4 linked regions of the Arabidopsis thaliana genome follow. The protein of the gene in region 1 interacts with the protein of each later gene in a pairwise test. Each region holds a gene or a part of one and is shown in the gene's direction. Other genes may lie near its edges. The genes, in order: ARR3, AT2G40450, BHLH100 and AT5G53880.

Region 1 (5,239 bases):
TAGAGTCGCTTGGAAGGCATAGCGAACGAGGAAGTGGTCCACGCGGTGTGGCTGAGCATGAGCGAGGTGGTCCATTATCGAGGTCCAGTTGGAAGTATATCTCGATTTGAGAATTCCCTTTACAAGCGCTGCCCAAACTGCTGAAGTGTATCCACAATCAAAGAAAAGGTGTTCCCGGGTTTCGAGGTTACCTTGACAGAGAATGCAGTCCGTTGTAACGTCTCCCGACCATTTAACCATGCGATCTCCTGTTGATAGCCTTCTATGGACTGCAAGCCAAGTACAAAAAGCGTATTTCGGGGTTGCATGATCTTAATCATCATTTTCATATCATGTTTTGTAGAACTCTTAAATTGGACTATCTCGATCTCTACCTAATCCACTGGCCGGTTAGCTCGAAACCTGGTAAATACAAGTTCCCTATAGAAGAAGATGACTTTTTGCCAATGGATTATGAAACAGTTTGGTCTGAGATGGAAGAGTGTCAGAGACTCGGAGTTGCAAAGTGTATAGGAGTAAGCAACTTCTCATGCAAGAAACTCCAACACATCCTTTCAATAGCAAAAATCCCACCTAGTGTCAATCAAGTATATTTAAAATTCTCTCTTATTTAATTTATCAAATAAGTTCAACCTTTTTTTTATAAGAAAATATTGGATTGGTGAAATAATTTGAAACATTTGTTTGTGGATAATGTGAAAAAGGTGGAGATGAGTCCAGTATGGCAACAGAGAAAACTGAGGGAGTTATGTAAGTCGAAAGGCATTGTTGTGACAGCTTATTCGGTGTTGGGATCGAGAGGAGCGTTTTGGGGAACTCACAAAATCATGGAGTCTGATGTTCTCAAAGAAATTGCTGAGGCAAAGGGAAAAACAGTAGCTCAGGTACTCTCCAAAGACAGTTTTAAAATTATTTACGAAAACATTTTTAAATTTCTTTTAACGTATAAATATTAAAAAAAACAGTCGTAATTTAAAGGAAAATTTTGTTAATTACAGAAAATATTTTAACAAATCGGTAAACAAAAGTCATTGTTATATTCATTTGAAAATTAGTTTTATTTTTATTGTGATAATGGCTAAAACTATCTTTATGCGATATTTAATTTTGGACTATTGACTTATTTATTTGTTTGATACATTTTTATATTGTGCACTCACTCTCGTTGACCCAAAAAAAAAAAAAAAAAAAACTCACTCTTTAAACGGGTAATAGAGTGATGTGGAGAAGTTTTGGGGAATGAAAGTATTTAAAGCTCATTTTTAGAGTTGTAATAGACAATTGACTAGGTGAGTATGAGATGGGCTTACGAGGAAGGAGTGAGCATGGTGGTGAAGAGCTTTAGGAAAGACAGATTGGAAGAGAATCTGAAGATATTTGATTGGTCTTTGACAGAGGAGGAGAAACAGAGAATCTCGACGGAGATTTCTCAGAGCAGGATCGTTGACGGAGAGGTTTACATCTCGGAGAAAGGTCCTATAAAATCTGTCACCGAGATGTGGGACGGTGAGATCTGATCACTATGTGTGAATTATGGGGCAGTTGTAATATAATGTCTTGATTATTTAGTTTGTAAAGTTGCATTAATTTGTTTTGTTAAGTTGCATTTCCAATGTATAACCTTCATAAATGTTGTAGTTGTAAAATAAATGTCTTGATTATTTAGTTTGTAAAGTTGCATTTCTAATTTATAACCTTGAGAAATGTTTCTTCTTATTTTTTTCTTTTGTGAATATGCAAGTCTTTTAAGAGCAATTTTGAGTTTGAAATGTTTCTCCTTTTCTTTTATCTTTTTTTTTTTTTTTTTAATATTTAAGCTTCTTTCAAAGCATGTTACATGGACCCCAAAATCTTTAAACATCTAAATTAATCACATAATGATATGTACAATATCTTGTGAAAAACCTCTGTTCATCATTGCGATAAAGTCTTTCTGAACGGGATTTCTGATAGAAAACGAAAGCTTGATTTTGGATTTTATGTTTCTTTCACTTTGTCTATAAACCTTTTTATTTACTTGTTATGGTTTTGGTCATCATATTTTATGATGGTCTAAGAGTTTGTATTTATAAGTGGAGACAAGACATAGCTATGCATTAGATTTTTCTTCAAATTAAGCTCAAGGGTCCATCAAAATAGAGAGAAGAAAATAAAAATCATTTTCTGAACATAGTAAATGTGTTTTTAACAACAACAACAACAACAACAAAAGCATAGTACATGTGAGAAACAAAAAGACGAATTTGAACATTAAATCAGTAACATACATACCAAACAACCCTTGTTATGGGTTTGGTTGGTAATCCAAGTATATCTATTTAGTACCAATCCTAAAAGTAAGAAGAAGCAAAACCGGTACTTTCTATCTATATCTTATCATGAACTTCGAATTTATCTTTCTTTACCTATTCAGATTAGTTCGCTATTTCTTGCTGCCCCCATCCCAAAAAAGAAAAAAAGGTACGTACCGTTTTGTGTCATTAATCGTCACTTGGAATAAGAAAATATTTTGTAAAAGAAATGAAGTAGAAAATGATCCACCTATAAAAAGATTTGATATAGAAGAGTATAACAACGAAAATATAAAACAAAGTAGAGAGGAACTAGTAGCAATATCTCTCTTCTATCTTTTCATTTCCTACTCTTTTCTCACTATGGCCAAAGACGGTGGCGTTTCTTGTCTACGAAGGTCGGAGATGATCGGTATAGGAATCGGAGAACTTGAATCTCCGCCGCTAGATTCTGATCAAGTCCACGTTCTCGCCGTTGATGACAGCCTAGTTGATCGAATAGTCATCGAAAGATTGCTTCGAATCACATCCTGCAAAGGTTTCTTAACTAGTAATTCTTCCTCTTTCCCCTTTAACATTTTAAAAGCCTTATTCTCCGGCGATGATTCAATGCAGTCACGGCGGTTGATAGCGGATGGCGTGCTCTCGAATTCTTAGGATTAGACGACGACAAAGCCGCCGTCGAATTCGATGTAATCTCTCATAACTCTGTTTTAAAACATTTTGAGATTCTAGATTCTGATCTTGATCTTTATTTTTACCAGAGATTGAAGGTGGATTTGATCATCACTGATTACTGTATGCCTGGAATGACTGGATACGAGCTTCTGAAAAAGATTAAGGTTTCTGAAATTTTCCCGCCATAAAAACAAATTCTGTTACTTTTTTTTTTTTTCAATTCTTGATTTTCTTAAAAAACAGGAATCGACAAGTTTTAAGGAAGTTCCTGTTGTAATTATGTCGTCGGAGAATGTAATGACTCGTATCGACAGGTCAAATCTCTCGCCGGAATCTTTTTTTTTTGATTCCGATTTTGGTGATCGGAAATTTAATCAATAAATCTGTTGTAGATGTCTTGAAGAAGGTGCGGAGGATTTTTTACTAAAACCGGTGAAACTCGCCGACGTGAAACGTCTGAGGAGTTACTTGACGAGAGACGTTAAAGTCGCCGCCGAAGGAAACAAACGGAAGCTGACCACTCCACCGCCGCCGCCTCCGCTCTCAGCCACATCCTCGATGGAATCTTCGGACTCTACGGTGGAATCGCCTCTGTCTATGGTTGACGATGAAGATTCGTTGACAATGTCGCCGGAGTCTGCAACTTCGCTTGTGGATTCGCCGATGAGGAGTCCCGGATTAGCTTAGAGAGATCCGTGTGATAACGATCTCCGTTAACTTTTTACTTTTGACGGTTTTATTGACTGCAACGTTGACTTGAACGCCGTCAGTTTATACTTATAGATCTCTCTCTCTCTTTTTATATCGTTGCACGTGGGGTCTCTTTGCTCACGAAGGAACTTTTATAAAAACAAGTATTGTATTTATTTAATTACGTATATTTGATAATTTTAAAATTAAATAATGTTTCTATTTCTAATAATATCATAATAATCAAATAATGTGTGACAGTTTACCTCTGTGTATTCATATCGTCTGCTAATCACTTTTGAGATTTTGCCAGCGATTAGCATTTATTTGATAGTATGATATCCAATAATGTACCGACTTGAGGATACTTTTCTTTAATCTATAGTCTTTGATATTAAGAACCAAATCTTGTATTATTATGATATATTTTTGAAAATGTACTCTCAAATATTCCGCATGGCTTCTATGAATATTTTCAACTACTTACTCTAGCTACCACTAATTTTTGTGTGATAACTGTCTATTAGAGAAGACTACACAAAATAGTAATAAAATCATTTGCAAACTACACATACTATTGAAACTCGGCTTGTAATATTTACACCTATAATAACTAACAACTTATGTTGAACATGTTGGTGGTCTTTTTAATTTTAATCATTGAATAGGTAGTGGCTAAGTTGGTGACTACGACCACATATTTCACAATCACATGTCGCTAAACCATGACCATGTGGTCACGCATGCATGGCTACGAATTAGAAATGAAAACGGTTGAATAACCATGGTATTATGGGGATTAATTATGATTCATATGAATCATATCTAACTCAAGGTTATGTGGTCATGCATGGCTACAAATTAGAAGAAATAAAATGTTGTCCAAATACATGTAATCATGGGGATTATGGATTCATATCTAATCTTAGGAGGTCTACTAAAAACATTAAGTATACATTTTAGCTCCTAATCACTCACAAACTCATATCTTTGATTCACACCACGACCACAATATCTATTTAAAAAGAGGATGCATATAATATTTTGAACTTTCTTCAGAATGAAGGATCAAATCGAATAATATAATAACGTACGGCATTATTATATTAGCAAGACCCTTACATTACCCATTGGAACTTAGAAGGAGGCACTGGATATTAAAGAAAATTGATAGGCAAATGCAATGAATCAAAATCAAATAATCATTGTAGACAACAGAATCAGCTCAAAGATACTCCCCACGTTTGGCGTACTAAACATGTGATTATTCTACTTTTATCTTCTTCTCATTTTGATTTCTGTTTTTGTCCCCTTAAGGTACGGCCAATTATTCTTCTACAATTTTTTAATTGGGGTTCTATACAGAACATGCAAAACAAAAAACAGTGAATGACATTTTTCTTAGTAACTTGTAAAAGTACTTTAAATGAGATTTAGGCAAAGTTTCTCTTTATTCTTTAGAATGTCGTAACTTATGTTTCCAAAACAAAATTTCCCAACTTTTATAAGCATTCGAATTTTTATATTTTGGTTTTGAGTTTTGACTAAAAAAGCAGAAAATGCGGTACATTCCACTTGCC
Region 2 (4,420 bases), on another chromosome or scaffold:
CATAACCAAAGAAGGAATGGAAAATAAATATTTCCAACCATTTCTGAGATTTGACTTTACCGTAAAAGACTGCCCAATAAAATGACATTGGGTCCAAAATCCAAATAATGAAACCACGTGTTTTTTTAGATGCAATAACTCAATGGTATCATTGTGTTACAAAGGATTGTCAAACTTATTTCTAACCCAAATGTAGCAAAACAATGTGTGAGATTACGTTACATAAATAAAGTTTGTTAATTGTTAACCATAACACAAACTCTAAAGTTCATAATTCCGGATATTCAACAATAATACTGAATCTTTTCATGATATATTCTGGTTCTGCGGGAATCTTATGCAGTCGCGGTTCGCCGAGACTGTGAACAGTCCCAAGAAGCAAGTCCAGGTACACCCAAAAAGCCTGACGGTTAATTTGTTAGCATATGGTCAAGAGCCGTGATAATGGAGCAAAGAGTACAAAAGAAGATTAAATGATGACAAAAGATTTGCACGAGGGTTAAGGATACGACTGAAAACGATTTGACAGGCTTGCTTTGTTGGCCTCACATTGCAACTTGCAAAGAATTGAAACATGAGCATGAGGTAACTTAGGTTTTAGCTATTAGATATCTATGAGAAGGACATTGAGAGACATTAAGGGTTAAACGTATAACCACTAATAGAAAAAGATTCTTTCTCACTTCGTACATTTCTCTTGACTATAACAAAGGCAGTGCCAAAGTGGTGCATTGTACTGTTAACTGTTAAAGATAATGTTTCCTACAGATTACTCGATGCGACAAGACCTTGCTGTTTCCACCATTCATAGGTTCCTAAGCTTTCTATTATGACGTGTTTTGTCCTTCCATATGTCTATTTACAACCATAATCATCTTTTGTATACACAAAGACTGTGGATATGTGTGTATTAATGGCCCAGTGAAACAGAGCCAATCACGAAACTTTGCTTGTGGACCACTCTTCTATCTTTTTAAGGGTGAGAAACAGGAATTTTATTTACTATAGGCCCGCCACTAGATGTAACCTCCTCTTTTTGCCAGATCAACCAATAAACATCTTAGTAGTAAGCTCTTCGCTGTTTGATATAGTCCTCAGGGATCGTATGCAATGAAATATCAAAGTTAAACAAAAGTTAGATTTTAGGGAGAAAAAGCTTATTTACCACACATGTTAAACAATTTGAACCCATTTAAGGGTACATATGGGAAATGTTGTCAAACACTACTATAGTGGTGAGATGCAAATTATAATACTAGAATATCTCATGAGAAATTTGATGTTCTAAATATAACATAAAATGGAATCTAGGCATGCTCTCTTCTAACTAGGCAGTGTACTAGTCTCTCAGAAATGATAGCAGAACACTATTATCAGTAAAGTGAATGACACAAAAACAGCAAAGATATCAGTGTGTAACAGAAGATACACAATGATCATTAAGACTTTAGATTGGAACAAATGAAACGTACATATCATGTTATAAAAATTTCAACCAGAATATGTCATGGTGAGTAAATAGCTACAGATTCCTGAAATTCCTTTTCATGAGTGCTCGTAAGGGTTTTGTTCTATTTTCATGTGCTCATTGTGTTTACTTCCTGTCACAACTTTCGATCGAAAACATTAACAAAAATTAGGAAAGGCTCATACCCATACCAACTATTTGCTTCAAACAATTCGATGGGTGTGATTACTTTCATGGATTTATCTATCATATATGTTGTATACTGTTACATCCTTTTCAGAAATAGAACAAGCCACAAGAAGATAAAGAAGCATAACAGATTAAAGCTGTAGCTTGGTTGGCCATTACAGAAGGAGTTTCTTCAACTCCTTTATTCTTAATGTGTAAACAGAGAACAGCTCAACAATTTTGTCTTCAGGTTCCCAAGAGAAGACGGGAGATTCGGCTAGGCTTATTAACGTAAGAAGAGATTCAGACGACGTTGGGACAATCACAATGATCAAATTCCATTCTCCGTCATCTGAATCATCATACTTCGCATTCCTCTGTTTTGCGTACAATTTACGTTACTCAATTAATTAATTGGACCGGTTTAAGTCGATTGTTTTATTGGCCTTTGTTGGTTTTGGCCCAACAGAAGAATGTTTTATGGGTTTAGTTTAAAGCCCATTTGGTTAAGTATGTTAGTTTAGTTGAGGCAAGCTGCAAGTAAAGTAGTTGGTAAACTCTAAAGCTAGGTTTTTAACCTTTGCTTCTAATCTTAGACTACAAACCCTAAACCATTGGCCGCGTAAAAAACCATTCCTCGACTTCCGCCGTCAATTTCTCCTGGATAATTGTTCTGGTACGCGAATAATACATAGTATAGTGCCCTAACATAACATCGACCAAATCACATTCAGGTTTTATATATTTGGTTTGCAAACTGCAATGGCTACACAAAGCAACAAAGAGGCTTTCTTAGGTGGATTTAAGAAACTCTTGAATGAACAATGGCAAGCCGATGTACGTCTCAAGGCAGGAGACAGTGATGAGACTACATCTATTTTCGCCCACAAGCTTGTCTTGGTTTCTCTACTTCCTCTTCTCTTTTATTTATCATCATCCAATTATAGGGAAAAGTTACTTATTGTGTAGCAATGTTTTTGAGAGTGTCTCTTACTTGGGATGTTTTTCATTGTTGACATGAATGGAATATTGAATAGGTGGCAAGATCAGAGGTGTTTAAGAAGATATTGGAATCAGACGAGTTCAAGGCTTCATCTAAACAGATGGAGACAGTCACCCTCTCGGAGATGAAACACGAAGAATTGGAGGCTTTTGTGGAGTTCATCTATAGGGTTGATGGCTCCATTTGTTCTGCTAGTCTCAAGAAACATGCTCGTTCACTCTTTCATGCAGCCGACAAATATGAGATTCCGCATCTAAGAGACCTATGCAGAAACGAGCTTATATCATCTTTGAATTCGTCGAATGCTCTTAGCATCCTTGAGCTCGCCCAAATCCCTTTTGACAAAGCCCTCAATGATCCCGCCTTCACTACTATCATAACCAATATAAGTACGATTGCTAGTGGTGATGAGTTCAAGCTGTTTGTCGCCAATCACCCAAATCTTGCCGTGGATATAATGAAGGCTTCTATAACTAGACTAAGTACTAGCAGAAAAATCTGTGGTTACTGTAATCGCTACTACTAAAAGAACCATAGCGTTGCTTTTGTTGTTTCCTTTCTCATTTTTTCTTTGTTAAATTGTTTCATCTCTTTTTGATAAATGGTTTTATCATTTTCAAGTGATTTGACATAATTGTCACAATATCGACTTCGCGGATATCACCATTTGCATAGTATCCATAGTTTGCCAATTTGTGTCTAAATTGTGCCGCCTCTCAGAAAGATTAATGAGCATTGGGATAAGAAAAGAAAAAAAGCAAATAATCAATCTTGACACTAAGTTTTGATTTGTTTGATCTCTTAGTTCTTCTTATGTCCAAAAGGAAATAAACAGAGAGATTGTTAAAAAGTTTAAAGCTCAATTTGAGCAAGCTTTTTTTTTTTTTTTTTTCGTCGCAAGCTTTTTTAGTGCATTCCTATCATTCTTTCCTGACTATAAGTAAGGTTCCTATTTTATAAAATCTTAGCTAGAGTCTTTTAGATTCTTGTTTAGTGTGCCATACACAGAAGTGCAAGAGACAGTAAGAAGAGGTAAACAAACCATAACACAAAACTTAAAATTCTGTATTCGTCTGATAAAGTCTCCTATTAATGAGTGCAAATTAAATTCCGAGTTCTAATGTATTAATGTCTCCTTGACCAAATCCAAAAGTCTTGGGAAAAGAAAGCAAAATAGTAATTTTGACCGCCTAGGTTCTATATATAATAACCCACAATCGTTAACTAAATCATATCCACGATATATACTTTAAAAACATGGCAACAGAAACCAACAAAGAGCTTTTCGTGGGTGGATTTGCAAAGATTTTGAAAGAACAACGTCAAGTCGATGTACGGCTTAAGGCAGGGGACAGTGGTGATGAGGGTGCTTCTACTTCTGCCCATAAGCTTGTTCTGGTCTCTCTACTTCGTTTCTCCTTTTAAATCATCATCTAATTTCATAAAGAAATTCATCCAAATGCTCTTACTTGAACTGATTTTCATTGTTAATTAATGCTCTTTTCTTGATATAATTAATAGTCTGCAAGATCAGAGGTGTTTAAGAAGATGTTGGAGTCAGACGAGATCAAGGCTTCGGCTCAACTAGAGACAATCACTCTCTGTGAGATGAAACACGAAGAATTAGAGGCTTTCATTGAATTCATATACAGCGACGGCTCTATGCTTTCTGCAAAAGAGAAGCAACACGTTAGGTCACTCTATATTGCGGGGGACAAATACGAGATTCCGCATCTACGAGACCTATGCAGAATCGAGCTTATATCATCTCTTAAATCTTC
Region 3 (4,980 bases), on another chromosome or scaffold:
ATGATCTCTGTTTGTTCTTAGAAGAGTAGATAGAGATTTTTATTGTGTAGATTCTAAGATGTGTTATGGATTCTGATTTTGTAGATATATAAGAATATTGGAGAGAAGTACGGAGTGGAGTACTCGGAGGCTGAGATACTTACTAGATACAGAAGAGCTTATCAGAAACCATGGGGTGGATCTCATCTTAGGTATTTAGAATCATCTTCTTTCTCTTTTTGTTTCTTCTACTCCAAGAAAATCACCACTAGGCAAAATGTTCTTTTGTGGCTTTCTATTTGTTTGTATGACAACTTTTAATACTTGATCATGATTATGACTCTAGTGATGCATCTCCGTACAAAGATATCTGGTTTAATACTGACTCTTTCGAATATACATTTGCTGTGGAATCTCTGTTGGATTCATAAATGGGTCTGCTTAAGACATTTACTTCTGTGCTGGTCTTGATTTTTGATTCTTTGTTTGTAGATATGTAAACGATGCAAGACCTTTCTGGCAGTATATAGTGACTGCATCAACAGGCTGCTCGGATTCACAGTACTTTGAAGAGCTTTACAGCTATTTTACTACAGAACAGGTTTGATCTCTACTACTACTTCTCCATATGCTTCAGTAATAGTTTTGGTTCTTTCTCTTGAGATTTCTCCATTTGCTTTCCCAGGCGTGGAAGTTATGTGATCCAGATGCAGGGAAAGTGTTTAAGGCTATTAAAGAAGCGGGTGTAAAAGTTGCAATAGTCTCCAACTTCGATACTCGGTTAAGACCTCTCCTACGTGCATTGAGATGTGAAGATTGGTTTGATGCTGTAGCTGTTTCAGCAGAAGTAAGATAACCTCTTTTCGTTTATATATTTTTGTTGATGATCCGAAACGTTTTGGGAGTGAGTGTGTAAATACTTAAGGTTTTTGGTTGAATGTTTAACAGGTTGAAGCGGAAAAACCAAACCCGACTATCTTCTTAAAAGCTTGTGAGTTATTAGAAGTGAATCCCGAGGATGCGGTTCATGTAGGAGATGACCGTAGGAATGATGTATGGGGAGCTAGAGACGCAGGCTGTGACGCTTGGCTCTGGGGAAGTGAAGTTACGTCATTTAAACAGGTAAACGAATCTCTCTGGTTTTGCTCAAATCTCTCAAGAATTTAAAAATCATTGGTTTACTTGAAATGAATGTGCTTTTGTTTTGTTCTGCAGGTTGCTCAACGGATAGGAGTGAAGGTCTGAAGCAAAAGCATATGAGAGAAATGGTTCAGAGACATGTTCAGACTTCAGTTTTAGCTTCTTCTTTTTTTGTGTGAGCAGTTTTGTATATTCCATTTCTCTTTTGTAGCATAATGTGTGTAATATATGTTGCGGCTAATGTAGAAAACCAGAAAACAATGTATAATAAAAGATCAATAATAAGCTTCATGATCGTTCTTAATCCGAACCGAAGTGTTGTACTGTTTTCGACATTTGCTTATAAAAGAAGGAGAATTGAGTTCTTTAAATATGTGATCAAGAAGAGATCAAGAAAAATGGAAATTTAGAGTTGAACCTAGGCAACGTATGGACAATACCAAAAGTTGCCAACATATCAATGGATAAATCTAATCAAACTGTATCTGTGATTATTGTGGGTTGTATTTTAACATTATGTTCATAATTGTTGACAAATAGTCAAATACTTCACATTTTAGAGATTATCTACATATAATGGGCTACAAACATGTAAACTCATTGCAAAAAAAAGAAAAAGAAAAAGCAATTATCTTAGGGCCAATTGTTTTTAGAGAAGCCCATTTAGATCTTTGGATTTAAAGAGGCGTAAATAGAATGAGGAAAAATCCAAAATATCTCCGTCTCTCTTTTATCCTCGTCCATGGATAATAGAATAGAATCAAGGCTTTTGGCCTGACCGAGATGACCGGAGTTGACTTGTGTAATATGATCAGAAAGGCTATAATATAATACAAAATAAACGATAGACACTACACCATATAAGATGTAATTAATAAATTTAAATAAGGAATATACATTTGTTAAATATTTGTAAACACTTAATGCCTACGTATATACTACATAGAAATGGTTGGATTCAGGAGAAAAGCCTTAACATATTCCACGTGATTTGCTCGTGCCTCTCAATAGTCCACGTCCACCAAACCCGTGTATCCTCGTGTACTTCTTCTCAGTGTCTGTCTCTTTTCTTCCAGCTGCGTCATAATTCATATTTTTGGTCTTAGTTTACTTAACGTATTTGTGGTAGAAAAATGTGATTGCATATTCTGTATCTTCTTATAGTAGTTGTTCCTATTTAACTGTTATTTTTTGCTAACTAAATAATTTGCTTAATAAATCGAATTTCTATTTTGACACATTATAAAATATTTAGAATTTTTGATTAATACTCATACATTCATATTCATGTAATTATACGATACAATAGTGTAAACTTATGTTATAAATTACGATAAGAACATTAGGATATTAATGCCTGTATCCGGAGGTCAACAGGTGATCCTTGGAACATGCTCCTACTTGGGGGAAAAGTGCTCAACCACGTGTCAACGCATGTCCACTCGTGACCCAATGTATTTTAATTTATTACATATACAACACAGAGTCATTAGTATTTTTCTTGTGTCCGTGTGTGTGTATCAGTGTATATATAAACAAAAATGAGTGTCCACATAAATAATCCAACTAACACATCAGCATAATCCCAACCGAAACAGCTTCTAGAGAGAGACAAAAAAGAACAGAGTAACTATCTAAAACTCAAAATGTGTGCACTTGTCCCTCCATTATATCCCAATTTCGGCTGGCCTTGCGGAGATCATAGCTTCTATGAAACCGACGACGTATCCAACACGTTTCTTGATTTTCCGTTGCCGGACTTGACGGTGACTCATGAGAATGTGTCGTCTGAGAATAACAGAACATTACTAGACAATCCCGTGGTGATGAAGAAGCTTAATCACAACGCGAGTGAACGTGAGCGTCGCAAGAAGATCAACACAATGTTCTCATCTCTTCGTTCTTGTCTTCCTCCCACCAATCAAACGGTAACTGTTAATTCTATATACTTTTCTATTTCTAAAATTATGAAAAAATTTGAAAGTTTAGTTTAATATTCAACAGAAACAAAAAAATATCAAATGTTTTCTTGCAAATGCTAAAAGTTGTTATTCATTGCTTTTGCAATTTTGGTGTTGATACAAACAGTGATATGTTTTGTTTTTTCTAACGCAAAGAAGGAAAAAAAAATCGGTCCCAAGTAACATAAACTGAAAGATCTGTCCTATTTTTTATGTATTTTCTTGCAGAAGAAGTTAAGTGTTTCGGCAACAGTTTCACAAGCATTGAAGTACATACCAGAGCTGCAAGAGCAAGTTAAAAAGCTCATGAAGAAGAAAGAAGAGCTCTCGTTTCAAATTTCGGGTCAAAGAGATCTCGTTTACACCGACCAAAACAGTAAGTCAGAGGAAGGGGTTACAAGCTATGCGTCGACAGTTTCTTCGACTAGGCTCAGTGAGACTGAAGTGATGGTCCAAATTTCATCGTTACAGACTGAAAAATGTTCGTTTGGGAATGTCTTGAGTGGTGTAGAAGAAGATGGGTTGGTTCTTGTGGGTGCTTCATCTTCAAGGTCTCATGGAGAGCGACTCTTTTACTCTATGCATCTTCAGATAAAAAATGGCCAGGTGAATTCCGAAGAATTAGGTGATAGATTGTTGTACTTGTACGAGAAATGTGGACACTCGTTTACATGATTTAATAATTAACGATGCTATATATATTTTTTCTGTTTTGTCTCTCGTTAAAATTCGAGGTTCTTTTTAGAAATAGGTTTTTTTTTTGTATATTAATTTTAATATATTATATTATTTTGGCGAAATGAAAGTTTCACGGGCAAACGTTTTGGTACCGATTTGGAAGGAGAACAACGCGAACATGGGTTGTGTGCAACAGTGTAAAGGTTTATATATCTGTGTATATTTTATGAGGATTTGTCATCTCACATCTGTGGTTACACACCGATGTCATATGTGGACACTAATTATCTGAAAGTCTTTAACAAAAAAATCATCTGAAGTCATTTTTTTAACCTTTCGTATTCAATTTTTTTCCGTTTGATTCGGCAAAATTACATATTTAAAAACCCTGAAATCAAAACAGAAGCACATAACTTATGGATGGTGAATCAGTGTTTAAAAACACATAATAATCTTCCCAATTATCAAGCCTGCCTGATCTAAAATTAGGTGAATGATCGCTTTTGGGCCTTAATTGGAAGAATAATTTTGGCCCATTTTGTTTCAAATAAATACTAAGGCATATTTGTTTGCACCAAAAAAAAAAAAAACAAGCATATTTGTAAATTAAAAATAATATCCTAATAAAATACCTAATCTTATTTTCAAATTTAGTTTTTAGTGTCTTAAATTTTAACATGATCGATTATATTACCTAGCTATGTAATTTATAATATACAAAGAAAACCAAAAGATCTTCGAAATGTTTAAGTCTTTCTTTCTAGTTTGTCTTACCATAAATTCTTTAACCAAAAACTGCAAAGGGAATAACTTTTCTGGGTCGACTGCATCAACGAAGCTGTAAAGGCCTACCAAGTTGAGAAGGAGCAGACCAAATAAAAAATGAAACTACTTAAAATAGAAAAATGTTGAATATAAACCAAATGGTCAAATAATAAATACCAAAGAAAGGCCAAATCCACGGGAAAGCATATAAAACCACTGCTGTTAGGTGCAATGCATCCTCCATATTCAAAATCTACGAATAATGAAAATTTCTCGATTTTTTATTTTGCTGGCACCACCCAACTTGCTTTACTATTTCATTAAATTCGGCAAATGCTCTATTTATTTTCATTAATATTACATCTTGTATTTAATATTGTGTTACTGAAATACGTTTGCCGTTTTTAAAGAGTTCGTATAAACCATTAGGCTATCAACTTTGTGTTTTTAGTGTGAT
Region 4 (4,482 bases), on another chromosome or scaffold:
AGTAAACAGAAATGAGTAGATATTTTATGACTATTACATATTACCATAAGTACTTGCATATGCAAACTGTTTCAACCCACATAGACTTTTGAAATTTGTATCGGACGTCTCGTGAAAGTTGTGACGCATCATGGCTACTAGCGGTGCACGTGGACCGTGGAGAGTGACGTTCCTTAGAGCCGTGTGGGTTCAGTTTGGACTTTCAGGCGGACGTCACGGGACCGATGCCGTGAAAGATGTGGAACCGTTGAACCTGAAATCCTGACCATAAAAGCCATAACCACGGGTCCCACGTGACTTTTACAGTTTTCATTGATGATATGCTTATTTGTTTGGTCTTTTTTTGTTTGCAAATACACTCCTCTTAATTTTTTTTGGAAGTGACTTCGAGATTAAACCGGTTTGCTAAACCGGGATCAAAACCATGGTTATCAACTGGTTAAGAATAAGAGAAAGAGACAAAGAGTGAAGATGTGTGTGTTCTCATGTGTGAGAGTTTGTTGGTGAAAGAGAATTGATACAACCATACAACAACAAATTAATACTAATACTATGAATAGTCTCTGAGTAATGTTAGGATAAAACTGGAGAGAGACTCTTGACTGTACTTAATTATGTATTTGAAGTAGTTTATAACATAAAATTATGGTGAGTGCACCACAACGTTAATAAAAAATGTACATATATATGAGTTTCATATAGTATAGTATTAAGTGAATTAAAGTAATGTTTGGGAGCATCGAAAATGGAGTGATGTCTTTTGATAATGTATTGTATAGTCAACTGATCACACACCGCAAATCACGTGAAGTCATCGAACCGTACACCTATCGGCCTCCTACTTTGTTTGGTTTTCAAGTCTTCTCTAAGATCGAACCTCGAATCTATCGCAACTCAATCACTATTTTTATTAGTCTTTGATTAGTTTAGTTCATTTTAATGACCTTAATTTGTCGTAATCGTCATACTATTGGTGTAGCTAATTGACCTATCTTACATATCTAAGATAATCCGGTTTGGCTAGTACAAAGAATGTAGAGAGATACAACTATAATATCTCTCCAAAACGTGTATTAAACTTTTGTGAGAGTTGTATTATGTTGTCAAAGAAGACAAGGATCTATATAGGCTACAATAGACATGTGACATACCAAACCCAAAAACAAAGATGACCCTTGTCTGGTCTTTTCATTCGACTGACCAAGATATAAATAACCAAACAAATGTTGAGAACCATTCATCCTTCAACAAATGTTGAAAATAGTTAAGAAATGGTTCAGTCGAATAAATTATCTTGAGTCAAATGGAGAATTTCAATTACTTTTACCCAAAAAGTTGGATTATTCAGATCGGGTGCGAGTGAATTAGCTCAAACCATAATCGAATCTAAGAAAAAACGTTCAGGTTTGGATGGCCTGTTATTTACTCATCATAAAATAACAACTGATAAGATGAATATGGACTCATATTCTAAGCCCAGCCCATATGAGTCTTTTCGCTGGATGAGGAAAGCCGAAAAAAATCTAAATGGTGTATGAAAATGCACTTTTGAGTATATTATAAGATATTGCAAAGAATTTACTAGAAAAAAATGAAAATCGTTCATAAAAAAGATATATAAATCAGAGTAGGGCGGCCATCCACTTGGTTTGAAAGAGACCGAAGTGGAATCCAACCATATGATAATACACATAAAGATCCAAAAGTAATATAGTCCTTTTTCGAATTATTATCAATCCTATGAATATACTTTTTCCAAAGAAATATGCATGATTCATGAATATACGTAAAAAGAAGTAAATTAGAACCAAGTGTTTTCCCACATGACATACATTACATTACATAGTATCAGTTCCCTCCATTATTCTGTACTTCCATTACCATCCCCTTTATAACCACTATCAAAATCATCGTTTATATGTTATACAAAATCGATTTCATTAAAAAAATGTTTGTGATCTAATGGGGTTGCACCGTTTAGGTCAAAATTGTCATTCTCTGATACATAATGTCAAACGGATAAACGAAAGCATGCATCCGCAGTTCGAAAATTTATGCTACATTACAGTTAAAAAGACCATTATATATAAGATTTGCTAATCTCCCCTAAAACTAAATGACAGTTCAAACTATAATTTCAAAGATGGTGTGAATACGTAAGGAAAAACTATTATGGAAGTTATCTATTTAGTTATAATACACAAACAAATTGGCCACCGTCAGTACACTATCACTCCAGCCGAGCTAAAGCTCGTGTGTCTTTTGTGTATATGCGGTTTACAAAGAAACATGATTGAAAATAAAAAAAGAATTGGTTGGAGAATGATACTAAAATTCAATGGAGTGGGACCAAATGAAAGCATCATTATTAAACGAGAAGAAAAAGACAGAATTGTTAGAGAAATGTCAAAAAAGCACAGTAATAAGTAACCCAAAAAAACAAACCCAATCAATTCTCTACTTTCATTAAAGCTTAGTAAGCAAATGTGTTATGTGTGAGTGAGATTGTGTGAGAGAAAAGAAGAAGATAAGTGAGAGAGAAAGAGAGAAAGAGAGAAAATGAAGTTCTTGTTCCAGTGTCCATGTTGCTCTTGCTTCTGCTTCATGAAACCAAAGCCGGGCAAACCAAAAGCTGTTGGAGATACAAAACCAAAGGAGGAGAAGAAGAAAGAGGTGAAGAAAGAAGAGATCAAGAAAGAGGAGAAGAAAGAAGAGAAGAAAGAAGAGAAGAAGGAAACCAAAGCAGAGAAGGCTGAGTGAAAACTCTACTTTGAGAAAATGTAATTAATTATCCCATTTTTATTATTATTTATCTGCTATTTGATGATTATGCAAGTAATAACATGTTATTTTTATGGTTTGGTAACCTTTTTAGGCAAATTATGGTTTAATCTCTTATATTATATCATTCTCTTGTTTGAATTTACTCTTATGATCAAGATGTGGAAGATTATGTTTATCGTTTCTACGTAATTTTCCTTTAATGAATTTAATTAAATCCTACTTATTTAAGTAAGTGTATGAACCAATTAAAAACTGAATCTAGTTCTTTTTGGGCTTGAGCTAAATAAAATTCACTTTTATCTTTGTTGTTCATAGAGTTTCACTGAAAAGTAAACAAGAATATCAATCAAAACATGTTTTTTTTAAGGATTATCTACATCAAGAATTTATAAGATTCTAAATATATATTTAAGTCTTGGTTTTGTTTTTTCTCTTGTTTTGAATTTTGGTTACTTTAATTTGGATCGGTTAGATTTCACTCTATCTTTTTTTTTTTGTCTAAAGATTTCACTATATCTAAAAACGCCAATTCATGATATAACAACTATGGTCTGGAAAGCGATACATGAATTCGTTTTCTTAGTGCAAATACAAAAACACTCCGATCCAATTTGTCTATGTTAGTAGTATATCAACTACCATAATAATCACCGAAAATGAATGGTGTTTCTAATAGAAAAAGGGCTTAAAACATATACTCACCAGTCACCAATGTAGTTTAATCAACAGTGTGACTATTCTTCTATACCCACATCTCAACAAGCTCGACCTTATTGGGTCTCCCTCACTAAGTGTGTCTCCTATCTTTCTCTCTCAATCACTCCATATTTTGGATCCATGTGATCGCGCGTATTCATAAAATTAGTAGGGTTTAAGATACATGTTAACTTTTTTTTTTTGGCCAAGATACATGTTAACTCAAATGTGTTTATTCACCAAAAAACTAAGGTAGTTTTCGGAAGAAAATAGTTTAACAAAAAAGAAAAGAAAAATGTGATCTCGACGTATTTAAAATCTGATATGTTTGGAGAAAACTGAAATATTGTATTTATTCAAAGCATTTTCCACACGATTTATTCAAATCACATGCCCATCTTCGTGAGCTATTCAAATTAACTTGGGCTTCGAAATTAACAATGCCCACCACATCTCACTAAAAAAATCCAGTCCCCGAAGTCCGTTCCTTACAAGTTACAAATAAGGAAGTAATAGCTAGCACCTAGCTGGCTAGTTTAGAATTCAGAAACAACAATCCGAAAGTAGAATCATATAAAGAGCTAATCACTACTATACAAGTAGACTCAATAGCTTTCATATAAATGAAATCAAACTAAAAATGGAAAACCAGCCCATTTTGTCAATAGTTTTAACAAATTTAAATCATCATTAACAAAAATACTAATAATTAAATAGATAAATCCATTAATCAAATCAATTTTTATGGGAAGTGAATTAATACGTGAGTCAAATCTCACACGTCTTCTTAACATAAATGCCTTCAATTTTATTTCACAACTTTCAAAATTATTATTACCTTACCAAACAAAATCTCTTTGATATAAAGAAAGAAAGTCTTCTGTCACTAATCTTCGTATTCCATTTTTGTAAATTTCAGAGATTTTCTTTGATTCTTCGTAATCTCATAAGTTCCTATATATATTCATTACATAACTTCACTCATTCCACAACACAAACACA

The links.
Region 2: the proteins of ARR3 (region 1) and AT2G40450 interact in a two-hybrid assay, tested with the Arabidopsis thaliana proteins (one large-scale study listed by BioGRID).
Region 3: the proteins of ARR3 (region 1) and BHLH100 interact in a two-hybrid assay, tested with the Arabidopsis thaliana proteins (one large-scale study listed by BioGRID).
Region 4: the proteins of ARR3 (region 1) and AT5G53880 interact in a two-hybrid assay, tested with the Arabidopsis thaliana proteins (one large-scale study listed by BioGRID).

What each region holds. Positions count from the first base shown.
Region 1 is NC_003070.9:22,064,311-22,069,549, reverse strand, and holds ARR3 (response regulator 3), read left to right. Parts: upstream 1-2,316; 5' UTR 2,317-2,378; coding exon 2,379-2,829; intron 2,830-2,906; coding exon 2,907-2,983; intron 2,984-3,055; coding exon 3,056-3,133; intron 3,134-3,212; coding exon 3,213-3,283; intron 3,284-3,361; coding exon 3,362-3,656; 3' UTR 3,657-3,933; downstream 3,934-5,239. Other genes in the region: AT1G59950 (NAD(P)-linked oxidoreductase superfamily protein), read left to right, coding at 344-587, 705-884, 1,290-1,517. UniProt on the Arabidopsis thaliana protein: Functions as a response regulator involved in His-to-Asp phosphorelay signal transduction system. Phosphorylation of the Asp residue in the receiver domain activates the ability of the protein to promote the transcription of target genes.
Region 2 is NC_003071.7:16,890,769-16,895,188, reverse strand, and holds AT2G40450 (BTB/POZ domain-containing protein), read left to right. Parts: upstream 1-2,214; 5' UTR 2,215-2,398; coding exon 2,399-2,536; intron 2,537-2,673; coding exon 2,674-3,165; downstream 3,166-4,420. UniProt on the Arabidopsis thaliana protein: May act as a substrate-specific adapter of an E3 ubiquitin-protein ligase complex (CUL3-RBX1-BTB) which mediates the ubiquitination and subsequent proteasomal degradation of target proteins.
Region 3 is NC_003071.7:17,197,106-17,202,085, reverse strand, and holds BHLH100 (basic helix-loop-helix protein 100), read left to right. Parts: upstream 1-2,631; 5' UTR 2,632-2,765; coding exon 2,766-3,047; intron 3,048-3,308; coding exon 3,309-3,755; 3' UTR 3,756-4,049; downstream 4,050-4,980. Other genes in the region: AT2G41250 (Haloacid dehalogenase-like hydrolase (HAD) superfamily protein), read left to right, coding at 85-191, 472-580, 665-826, 928-1,101, 1,195-1,224. UniProt on the Arabidopsis thaliana protein: Plays a role in metal homeostasis. Confers tolerance to high zinc (Zn) and nickel (Ni).
Region 4 is NC_003076.8:21,871,273-21,875,754, reverse strand, and holds AT5G53880 (uncharacterized protein), read left to right. Parts: upstream 1-2,300; 5' UTR 2,301-2,559; coding exon 2,560-2,760; 3' UTR 2,761-3,054; downstream 3,055-4,482.